Linked DNA regions of Ovis aries. The protein of the gene in region 3 interacts with the protein of the main gene of each other region in a biochemical or structural test. Links are inferred from orthologs where the notes say so. Each region holds a gene or a part of one and is shown on either strand. Other genes may lie near its edges. The genes, in order: RASGRP3, RACK1 and PRKCB.

The links.
Region 1: of the proteins of PRKCB (region 3) and RASGRP3, one has a biochemical effect on the other in vitro, tested with the Homo sapiens proteins (2 studies listed by BioGRID). The link is inferred for Ovis aries from reciprocal best matches to the Homo sapiens genes PRKCB and RASGRP3.
Region 2: the proteins of PRKCB (region 3) and RACK1 form a complex in vitro, tested with the Homo sapiens proteins (2 studies listed by BioGRID). The link is inferred for Ovis aries from reciprocal best matches to the Homo sapiens genes PRKCB and RACK1.

Annotation. Positions count from the first base shown.
Region 1 is NC_056056.1:90,420,239-90,423,887, reverse strand, and holds part of RASGRP3 (ras guanyl-releasing protein 3), read left to right. Parts: intron 1-1,872; coding exon 1,873-2,148; intron 2,149-3,649. UniProt on the Homo sapiens protein: Guanine nucleotide exchange factor (GEF) for Ras and Rap1.
Region 2 is NC_056058.1:38,114,122-38,118,359, reverse strand, and holds the start of RACK1 (small ribosomal subunit protein RACK1), read left to right. Parts: upstream 1-1,298; 5' UTR 1,299-1,364; coding exon 1,365-1,473; intron 1,474-1,713; exon of another isoform or gene 1,714-1,781; intron 1,782-2,639; coding exon 2,640-2,811; intron 2,812-3,104; exon of another isoform or gene 3,105-3,183; intron 3,184-3,344; coding exon 3,345-3,492; intron 3,493-3,751; coding exon 3,752-3,847; intron 3,848-4,112; coding exon 4,113-4,223; intron 4,224-4,238. UniProt on the Homo sapiens protein: Scaffolding protein involved in the recruitment, assembly and/or regulation of a variety of signaling molecules. Interacts with a wide variety of proteins and plays a role in many cellular processes.
Region 3 is NC_056077.1:22,416,714-22,420,362, forward strand, and holds part of PRKCB (protein kinase C beta type), read left to right. Parts: intron 1-1,016; coding exon 1,017-1,175; 3' UTR 1,176-3,649. UniProt on the Homo sapiens protein: Calcium-activated, phospholipid- and diacylglycerol (DAG)-dependent serine/threonine-protein kinase involved in various cellular processes such as regulation of the B-cell receptor (BCR) signalosome, oxidative stress-induced apoptosis, androgen receptor-dependent transcription regulation, insulin signaling and endothelial cells proliferation.

The DNA.
Region 1 (3,649 bases), on a different chromosome or scaffold from region 3:
TTTTCTTAGACAATAGGAGGTTATAGCCATACCTCCTGGAAAAACAGAATAGAAGTGACAGCAAGCGTTCAATACAAATGCTTTTAAACCCCATTAACATATTGTAGTTGTAAATATTCAAAAAATATGTATTTGGTGCTTACTATGTGATCAGTATTATGAAATACATGAAGGTTATAAGGCAAATAAGACAGATATCATTCCTATTATCCACTCCTCAAATGAAGTCATTGAACACTTGCTCTCTTCATAGCACTGGATTCAACATGGGGGAAGATACAAAAGAAGAGGGAGGGGACCGAAAGAAATCTTTTGTATAGAAAGCCTTCATTTATAGCTGAGTTTCCAGGAACAAAAATAATTTAAAGCAATGATTGTTTCCCAAACTGAACTTTTTCCAGACCACAATTAAATATTTCCTTATGAAGCAAAAAAGAACATTTCATCCTTATGAAAATATTTCTCTGTAAAAGTGTACTTTGCTGTATCATTAAGGACCCTTTCAGCTATAAGTTAAAAAAAAAATCTTGAAATTGTCTAAATAATAAGGAAATGGATTGTGTCACATACCTGGAAAGTCCAGTGGCAAGGCCAAGTCCATGCATGGGCTGATCAGAACTCTGGCTCAATTGCTCTGAATTCCGCTTAGTGTGAGGTTGTTGTTTTTGGTTTTCATCGGACTGATTTCCCTCCTGACTGGGTTGTCTGCAACAGTGGAAAAATTTTGCTCTTTTGTTTATGAAAGTTGGAGGTAGGGAAAACCCCTCTTTAGCTTTGTCCTCATGGAATAAAGGCCTTCTTTTTTTAGGCAGATTGGACCATCTCAAATCACACGCCCACCCCTGGGCCAATAACAGTATCCAGAGGAATGCAACATGTTGATTGGCTTAACTCTTATTCCTGAACCAATCATAAATCAAGGGGATGAAATTATGATGATGGTAGATCAGAACCTATGCTTGGACTTGGGCATGGAAACAGCTCCATCTGAGACACATGGGAAAGAGTATACTAGTCACCTTAGGGTCTATTAGGAAGGTCTGGTTGCTGTTAGACAACCAACAATAACTTGTTCATATGAACAGGAGAATTTAAGACACAGAAGCACTGCTGACTGACCTCAAACACTGTACTCATTTCAAGTATAAAGGGGCTCATTATGTGTTTCATTTTCCTTTAGATTAGTACTGAATTTCCAGTAGAGAGCAAAACATGTTTTAAATGTGAAAATAAGAACTCAATGGAAAAAAAATTGAAAAAAAAAGATAATTCAATGGAGGCTCATAGAGGCTTGGAACCACCAGTGTATACTGAAAAATTTTTTATTCAAACTCCTCTTTCTTGCAGAAAAAGAAAGCTAATGTCCCTAAAAGTGAAGTGACTTGCTTAAGGTCACCTTCTTACTTAGTGGCAGAGTCCAAAACCACAGCTATCTCACCCATCAATATGACTGTTCCTGCCCCTGTCCCTGTCCTGTCCCCTTCAAGTTATATCTCAAATGCAACTTTCTTGGAACTAGGAAATTTTAATATACTGCATATGTTAATATAATATATGCTTATTTTTCGGATTGTAATATTTCCATGAATTATTAAATACTTATATACTGATGCCATTTAACATCTCAACATCCCTAGTAGGTAGGCAGAGGTGTGGGCTATTTCTAGTTTGTAGCAGAATGGAACAGGCTGTGCAATTCATAGTCAGGTTTTCTAACTTTCTTTTTCCTGGTTAGTATCTCCCTGCATCAATGTTGGTGCAATCCATACTTCTCTTGGTAGCAGAGGAATTTCCTAGCCACACACTGTTGGGCCTGGTGGTGGGCAGAAGGGAAGGCCGTCTGAAAAATCTATTTTTCCATCTGTTCCCCAGAACTGGAATGAAATGACGGAACTGGTCTCCTCCAACGGCAATTACTGTAATTACCGCAAGGCTTTTGCCGACTGTGACGGCTTCAAAATCCCAATCCTTGGCGTCCACTTGAAAGACTTGATAGCAGTCCACGTCATTTTCCCAGACTGGACAGAGGAGAACAAAGTCAACATTGTGAAAATGCACCAGCTCTCCGTTACCCTGAGTGAACTGGTCTCCCTGCAGAATGCCTCCCACCACTTGGAACCCAACCTGGATTTGATCAACTTGCTCACGGTGAGTTCAATGGGCTGGAGCTTGTGCTCCAATAGACTGGAGCTTGAACCTCACCTCCCAGGGGATGCAGGAAGATCCATGCCAGCAGTTCACAATGAGGGCAGGGGAGGGGTTGGATGTGGGGTCAGTGGTTGGGAAGAAATCTCAAAGGAGGAAGGGTGGGGAAGCTACACCTATAACCTGCGTAAATTCAGACTGTTAAATATGGTCTCCAAGCACAGAAAATTCCGTTTGCTTTGAAGGTCCCAGTCTCTGCCCCCACAGCTCTGGTTTCTGGAGTTCTTAGAGAGGCCCCCCAGCTCTGTCCTCAGGGCTTCACAATCCTGCATCACACTAATCTAATTCATCACCCCCTTCGCTATGCCCTCAGCTCACTGGCTTCTCTGGATCCTCACCACATTGCTGTAGCTGAAGCCTGGAGTAAAGCAGGAACCTCCTCCAAGATCTCCCTGCCCCGACTCCCACCAGCCTCCCCAAATCACCAGAGGCACTTCCCAGTCTGGCCCTGGAGGCCCTTCCAGACTTGCTTTCTGACTCTTAGTCTCTCCTCGTTTCTGATCACCTGATCCTGCATCACACCTGCCTTTGAGGAGTATGGGGCTTACACTTTCCACCAGTAATTGCTGCCTTCTACTTTCTGGCTACTGCATTTTCTTGGAAAATTCTTTCCTTACCCCTCCATCCCACTCCCTACCCTGCATCCCATGACTAGCTTAAATTTAAATGCCTCTCTCTTTATTTAGATGTTCTCAGGGAGCATTCTGTTTCCCTCCAAAGCAGTAATGCATCTGACACCTGTGTTGCCCTTGCACTTTGTACTTTCTTATCTATAGGAGGTACCACTTGACATTAGATTTTTTTTTTCCTGTCTACTTGCCTTATGCATTGCATGTCCCCAGCACCTTTCATAGTACCTGGCATATGTAGGGGCTCAACAGATGAACTGAATGCTATAATTAGGAATGATGTCGGTTGGAAGAAATTAACCCACTTCTCATCATTTTGGGCATTAGTGGCACACACAGTTAGCTGGTCTCTAGGTCCTAGCACTTTTAGATACACAGGTGTGTAGAAGAGAATATTTCCCATTGGCTGCTTCTTTGTCAGGGGGGAAAGAGGCATAAGCAAATTCTCTCAGCTTAGCTGAAACAAGTGGAGGAGTAACTTCCTTGTTTGGGTTTATGACACTGTAACATTTGAAACTTGGCTGCAATACTGAATTAACTACTTCCTTCCAATGGCCATAGGAAATGAAAACAACAATCCCTCTGAAGCTCTGAAGGGCTAAATCCTCTAGGGCTGCTGCACTGGAACAAGAGTATGGTTCCTAGACCTTCTCACCCACTGTTCCTAGAACACATAATTGTCTACCAAAGAGTTGACCCCCTAGGTGTAGGCAATAATGGCAGCTGCCTTCTTCGTATAAAGCAGAAGTGGTCAACACACAGAAACACAAATCTCTTGGGGTTCAGATTGTGTGACAAATAATAAACACACAGAC
Region 2 (4,238 bases), on a different chromosome or scaffold from region 3:
CCGTAGAAGCTTTGCCACTGTCCCACACTGTTCCTTCCCAAAGGCAGGCCTTCTAGCAGCCTGCAAGGCCCTCTGTCAACTGCCACCCCCACCCCCATTGCATTGGTTTGGTCCCCAGGGCCTTCAACGCTCCAGCTCTGAACTTTGGCACTGATTCTTTCCTCGGATTGGAACATCCACCCATAAATCCCGAAAGATCTCTCCTATATCTTTCTTTGCTAAAAATCTCCCCCTTGAGCTCTTTTCCCCCATCTCATTGGATGTAAACTCAAAAAACAAAGAAACAGGTCCCTTTTAACCTGTTCACAGCTATGTTCCCAAGACCTAAAATTGCGTCTGGTAACCAAGAGGTGCTCACTAAGTTCTGTGCATTTGCTTTGCCAGGGGTCTCTCTGGGTGTTTTACCTATCTAATATACTCTCCACACCGTGTGAGGTAGGTACTATTATTCCCAATCTCATTTCATGAGAAAATAATACACGTGACAAACAGAAAAGAAATACTTGGGCACGTCTAGACACCCAGACCCAAGGACCTTTTTATGAGGTGGTTTTGCCCGAGCCAACCTTCCTCTTGAAGCCTTTCAGTTTCTGCGAGAGCTCTCCACGCTCCTGCTTAGGCGGGAGCGGGGTTTATTGTCCAGCAGCCCACAGACTAACTTATCCTTCATTCCCGGTTTTCCTCTCTGTAACCCATTCCTGCCTTAGTCCTGGGTGGACTGTCTTTCTTCACCCAACACCATTAGTGAATAAACCTCTTGAGGGAAGAGTCGCCGCCCGCGCATGGAATTTGTTAGGGTTTAACAGTTCACCTGAACGCAGCTTACTTTGAAATTTTAATATAGTATTATTCACATCGCCCACCGTTACTCACAATTGTGCCCATGAAATTAAGCTCCCTCTGCGATGCCCTCCGAGCCACCAAGCGGAAAGGGAGGGGTTCAGACTGTGCCACGTAAGGCCAGTGAAGCCACTAGGCTCCCCTTACTAAGCTCTGGGGCGTGTACTTCCTCTCTGACGCTTTTGAGACATCATTCCCCTACCATAAGGAGCCTTTTTAAATACTCAGTCATGTTGGTTTAATAAGGGAATTTGTACGGTGCTACCAAATTACGTTGTACGACGGTCTGGACCAGAAGTCTTCTTTTATCTCTCCCTTTGAACTACATGGCGCTGCCACCTTGAGCAGAAGTGAATTATGGGAGGGCGCCATTTCGTTCGAGAGGGCGGGTATTTCCGGATCCGGCGTGGGCGGTTCTCTCTTTTCCTCTGCAGGGCCGCGGTGGAAGCGGTTGTGCGGGTCGCCTCTCTGAGTTATCCAGTTCCATCCTTGTCGCTCCGGCGACACCCGCACTCTCCGTCGCCATGACTGAACAGATGACCCTTCGTGGCACCCTCAAGGGCCACAACGGCTGGGTGACCCAGATCGCTACCACTCCCCAGTTCCCGGACATGATATTGTCCGCCTCTCGAGGTACGGGCTGAGGTGCTGGATTAAGGGGCAGGGGTCGTTGCGCGCGTCACATGGTTGGGCCGGTGGGCTGTGAGTTGACCTGTGCCTAGGCCTCATCGCGGATGAACCGGTGATGCGTCCCCGACTTGGCGAGCCCCGAAACAGCTGGCTGCCGGGAGGGTTGCAAGGCTGGGGCCTTTCTAATCGCTACCTCTCAAACCCGTGTATGTATCTGTGGGCCCAGGAGCCTTCGGGTCGGGCGGCGCCGTGATGATCCCAACATGCCATCTGAGTGCCTATGCTGAAACCCAGAGGCTGTTTCTGAGCTGCTGCCCGGACCCTCTGCTCATTAAAAAGTGGACTCCAAGGCGGACCTCGTGTCTAGTCTCTCGGCTATTTCGGGGCAGCCCTTTCTTCCCCCTTTTTTTTTCCTTCTCATTCTCTCTGTACCTGACTGCATTTGGAGACTTCTTGGCGATTGCTTTTGCGTTCACGCTATTTAAAAATAGTTCATCTGAGGCTACAATCATGTATGGCACTTACTAGGAAAGTTTATTCAGTGGAACACATTGCAGTGAAAGCATCCAGTCCTTAGCGCCTAAAGTGGATTTTCTATTGCTAGTATTTCTTGCATCCTTTAGCAGTAGTTTCAGGAGGCCCACAGCTACTCTTCCATATCCAGCCTGCTGTGTGCATGCATTCTGGAAGTGAAGTCACTCAGTCGTCTCCGACTTTTTGCAGCCCCATGGACTGTAGCCTACCAGGCTCCTCAGTTCTTGGGATTTTCCCAAGCAAGGGTACTGTAGTGGGTTGCCATTTCCTTCTCCAGGAGATCTTCCCTACCCAGGGATTCAACCCAGGTCTCCTGCATTGCAGGCAAATGCTTTACCATCTGAGCTACTAGGGAAGCCCAATAAATAGATGTGGAATCGTTTTAGATTTTCGAAAGGGGCATCCATAACCTGGTAAAGTTTCACACACCTGAGTTAAATTCTCAGGGTGCAACTTAGCTCTGCTTGACTCTTGACTAAAGTTACTTGGACTTGGCTAATAACTACTCTCAGCCTTTAGGTAGTTTCCCTACCCCTAAATGCCCTTGGTTTATGATCCAGAAGGTCAGATGGTGAGCCGTGGGGTTTTTTCACTGGGTCTTTTTTTTTGTTTGTTTTGTTTTAACCTGCCCTTAGATAAGACCATCATTATGTGGAAGCTGACCAGAGATGAGACCAACTATGGTATCCCACAGCGTGCTCTTCGGGGTCACTCCCACTTTGTTAGTGATGTGGTCATTTCCTCAGATGGCCAGTTTGCCCTCTCAGGCTCCTGGGATGGAACCCTTCGCCTTTGGGATCTCACAACGCAAGTAGCTGCTCTGGGGCACTGGGGGAAAGCTGGGTAGAAAGCAGGTAGATACCATCAGGTTTCCCAGGGTAGTGATTGGGTACTTGAGTGGGAACTGTAAGGCACAGTACCTGGAGAAGATATTTGTGGTGGTTCGGCCTCCCTCCCCGTTGCTTTTAATTAGATACACAGAATTGCTGAAGAGTGGTCTGTTTTAGCAGTTTTATCAGATACTGCACTTGGGACTAGACAACATGTTTGAACATACTGTATATTGGGAGCTCAGTCTTGGGTGGTCAGGCATAATGGAGGATCCTGGTGATGACAGATGACATTGTCAGCCAATCCCCACATGGGAGTGAGGACATGTCCTGCAATTCTGAAGGGATTCTCTGGCATATTCTCGGCCAAGGGCCTGCCGTTTATCAAAGCCATGTCCAGGGTGGTGTGGGTAACGCAGCTCCATTGGGTGAGGAATTGGGCCAGGGAAACAGCCTGACTGGAAGAATGTTTGCAGTCTTTCTAGAGAGTAACCAAGTCCTCCTTCTCAGGGGCACCACCACTCGCCGATTTGTAGGCCATACCAAAGATGTGCTGAGTGTGGCCTTCTCTTCTGACAACCGGCAAATTGTCTCTGGCTCCCGAGACAAAACCATCAAACTATGGAATACTCTGGGTGTATGCAAATATACTGTCCAGGTAAAGTAAAGGCACATGCAGGGAGCATATGTTGAACATTTCCCCCATCCTTCTTAACTGGTGCTTTTATATGGTGATTTTAAGCCTCGTCTGGAACCTAAAGGGATTCTATCTTATCTTAAAGGTTTGGGTTCTGGAAGTGTGAATACAGGTTGTCAACATACTGAATATATATCCCACATAACTGAGCGGGGAGGGTGGGGTCTCGAGTTTCATAAGACGAGACAGTTTCTCCTTATTTCCTTTCCATCCTCTGCAGGATGAAAGCCATTCAGAGTGGGTGTCTTGTGTCCGCTTCTCGCCCAACAGCAGCAATCCCATTATTGTTTCCTGTGGCTGGGACAAGCTGGTCAAGGTGAGCTTGGAGCCAGGGCGTGAGGCCTTTACCAACCAGAATGTGTTCCCACTACCTCCCAGTTGGTCATAATCAACTTTGAATCAGCTTTGTCCCTTAACTGACCGTAAGTGGCCAAGATTAATAATTCTTGGACTTTTTTGTCACTGATAGAATGGAAATTGGCTCTCCTATCCAGGGATGCCTTTTAAGCATGGTGCCATGCCTTTTTTTGACCTTGATAGATCCAGAGCCCAGGTTCTTCACCTTTGACCCACAATTTTAGGTATGGAACTTGGCAAATTGTAAGCTGAAGACCAATCACATCGGCCACACAGGCTACCTGAACACTGTGACCGTCTCTCCAGATGGATCCCTCTGTGCTTCTGGAGGCAAGGTGATTCATAGACAC
Region 3 (3,649 bases):
TCTTAGGTTGTGGTTGCCTCCTGTAGCTACTGAACACAGAGATTTCATGCAAATGGGTTTGCTGGTGAAGAAGGAGGAAGATCAGGCCTAGTGACTCAACTCTTCTCGTTAGATGGGAACTGGTGTGTGCATGTGTATGTGCTCACGCACGAGTGAACACATGCACACACACACACACACACACACACGTGCACGCGCGTTATCCCTCTAACTCAGACCAGGACCTTGTCATAGAGAAGGACAGCAGGAGGCATGAGAAATGGTGATGGTTTCTTCTCGAGAGCTTGGGGAGATCCCAGGCACTGGGTTGGCTTTCATCCACACCCTTCATTCCCATCTGGAGGGAGAATGGCTGCATTTATTTCCTGGTGCCTTGTAATTAAGGGTCAATGACTTCTCCTTCCAACCAGGGCCTCGTAGTGGCCCCGCCATTGCATCCACCAAACCCAGGTCTGGATGTTTCTCTCCATTAACTGGAGCATGTAAACTCTTGTATTTCTGGAGTTGGAGAATGTCTCCAGAGATGACTGAGAGCCAAAGGACAGCACTTTAAGAGACCTGCGGCTTAATGTTGGGAATCTCCGAGGTGAAGTATAAATGGGTCATTACTTTGAATCTTGTACCACAAAAATATCTCAGGGACCTTAATCCCATCTCCTCCAGGAATGAGGTTGGCCAGCTTCTTGGGGTGGAGTTGGGAGAACATGCCACATGCTACCATCCCCACCATCCCATGCTGCCATCCAGCTCCTGACTGCCCAGAAGGACACCACGGGCAGCTCATGAGCTACAGGAACTGAAGGTCGGGAGCCCAAGGTCACCTGCCGATCCGTGGTCATGAGAATTTTGCATTTTATGTTGCTCTCATTTCTGATCATCGAAACAATCTCTCCGAGGTAGTGAAAGGGAAGGGCTTCGAAAAGCCGCACCCAGTTTCGTTTGGTTCTGTTCTGTTTTCAGTTTCGTTTAGTTTATTTTTTCCACCCACCACAAATTCTTCTCTTCCCCTCTCATAGTGTGGGCGAAATGCTGAAAACTTCGACCGATTTTTCACCCGCCATCCACCAGTTCTAACACCTCCTGACCAGGAAGTCATCAGGAATATTGACCAATCAGAATTCGAAGGATTTTCCTTTGTTAACTCTGAATTTTTAAAACCTGAAGTCAAGAGCTAAGTAGCTGTGTAGATTTCCGTCCTTCATTTCTGTCATTCAAGCTCAACGGCTATTGTGGTGACATTTTTTGTTTTCCATTGCAAAGTTGCATCCATGTTTTATTTGCTGATGAAACTAGAGTGACCATGTTTCAGGACCCAAATGTCCTCAGGTAGTTTTGGAGCATCTCTGTGAGATGGGATTATGCAGATGGCACGTTGACAATGTGGCTGCATAATCAGCACATTATCAAAGTCCTTGTAGCATTTATTTTCCCCAGCATGTCAGCGATGTAGATCCAGCAGGGACAGAACATGACTGCTTTCTCCCCCTTTTTCCTGCACTGCCATTTTCATCCCTTTTCCAACGCCAAGCATCCAATCTAGATTTTTTTCCTGCCAAACAAGTGGATAATCGGATGTTAGCAGTATTCTCCTGCTTCCAGTCCTGGAGCTTGCCTTGTATCCAAGTAGATGGTTGCTTTGCCTTAGGGGGAATTTCCTCCATTCTTCCTGGTTTGGAGGCCCCAGGAGCTTTGGGGAAAAAACATGCTAAAAATAAAATTTTGGTTTTTTTTTTAACTCAAAAATTAAGAAGATTATCTAAGTCCTTTTAAAATTCCAAGAGTGTGCTTTTAGTAGTTTCAATCTAAGGGCACCTCCAGGAGTCATAAGGCAACCAGCTTGGGTGCTACCTTAATGCTGTAATTTCTGGTTCCCTGTGTCCCCCGATCACCTTCATCCCCAAACTACTTGAACAGGGCATTTGGACTTACTCCCTGGAAAGACATGGTCACTTTAGCAAAGTCCCAAAGGGCCATGGTTTTACATTACATTTCAAAGTTTATTTGCTTTGGGGTTTTATTTCTGTTGTTCAAATGCAAAAAAAAAAAAAAGTTACTCACTTTTGTTACACATGCTTTGAAATACGTGTCCAAATGTTATTAACCACAATGACCTGCTTTGATTTACCGAGAAGACGGCTCTAGAGCCTGGCAGACCCATGCCTGCTCGGATGGGATTTGTCTAGGTTTGTTGCTGGCTTCGGAAAGCTAATTAAGTGCTCTGAGAAAGATACCATGTCTTGAAAACATAGACAGTTGTATTCTTCACTTTGATGTTGTTTTGCAAGATGTTTGTGGAAATGTTTGTATCTGGATACCTGTTATGTGCCATTTTTCTTCTAGCATCGAGATACAATAAAAAAAAAAAAAAGCAAGAAAAAAGAAGAAATACTATTTCAAGGAAAACGGCTATCTATGAAAAACATGGACCCAAACTGCAGAATGGGGCCTCCTGAGGCTTCAGGACAGAAAAAATTAAAGCCAGATCTTAATCTTGGCCCCAGTGTTCAGCCAGTCAGAGAGACTGAAACTGTGGATCATTTAGAGACTCCTGGGGGCCTTTGATGGGGTGGGATGAGCTGGCTGGGGGGTTCTCCAATGAGATCAGAGCTCAAGGCTCAGATTCTCACCAGAGGCAAGTTTAGGGGCCAGCTAGGAGCAGGGCTGGGGCTGTTGAATTTGTTATCAAAATCACTACGCCTCTCAGCTCAGACTCATCCTTTCTAGCAAATAGCTTCATGAGCCCCCAGAAGCCCAGGGAAACCCCTTGATTGGGGAAATTCCGTTTCCCTCTGAGCAGAGGACAGCAGGTGGTCCCCCATCCCGCCTCCTGTCCCCCGCTGTCCTCAGGCAGCCCTGAAGGCAACTTTTGTCACAAGTCAAGTGATTTCCACAAGCGCCAGGGCTTCTAAGAGACCATCAAGGGAACTTAAAATACTTGACAAGTGTCCTTTAGGGGAGACTTCTCATCTTTAAGAAAATTGTGATTTGATTTCCACTTGGGCAAAGCCCCCTGCTGTTCACTCCTTTCTGCCTGCTCTCGTCTCCTTGCTGGGGGCTTGGGGACCATCCCTGTGGCCACTGTTGTGGGTCACAATCTAGACGTCAGGGGAAGCAGACTCGAAGCCCTAGCTCTCAGGCTTAGGAGGTAAGAGAAGGAGGAAAACTAGGGAAGAGCCTTCTCATTGTATTGTTGGGAAACTGGCATCAGGAGGGAGGAAGTGACTTGCCCAAAGTCAGCCAGTTGGAATGCAAACCCAGTTTCCTGAATCTCCATACAGGTCTCCCTCCTCTGTGACTGCCGTCTCTGAGCCATGCCCACCAACAGACAGGTTATTTGAAGTCTTTCATCTGGCTGTTGGGTCACCAAGCCTTTACTTGGATATACTCTCAGGAAGATTAAAATCAAGGAGAAACATTGGGCCATCGACAAGTCATGAGAGACAACTTTAGAGAACTACGTAGGATGAGTGAATAGATATAAATAAATAGGTAGATAGAGATAAATAGATATAAATAGAAAGAATATACTGTGTGTGTGTATATATATATATGTATTATATTTACTGCACTCTACATTTTCCAAATTGCTGACATTATTTTTCAAAAGTTTAATAGTTTCCAGAAGTAGATACTCAAGCCAAAGCCTCTG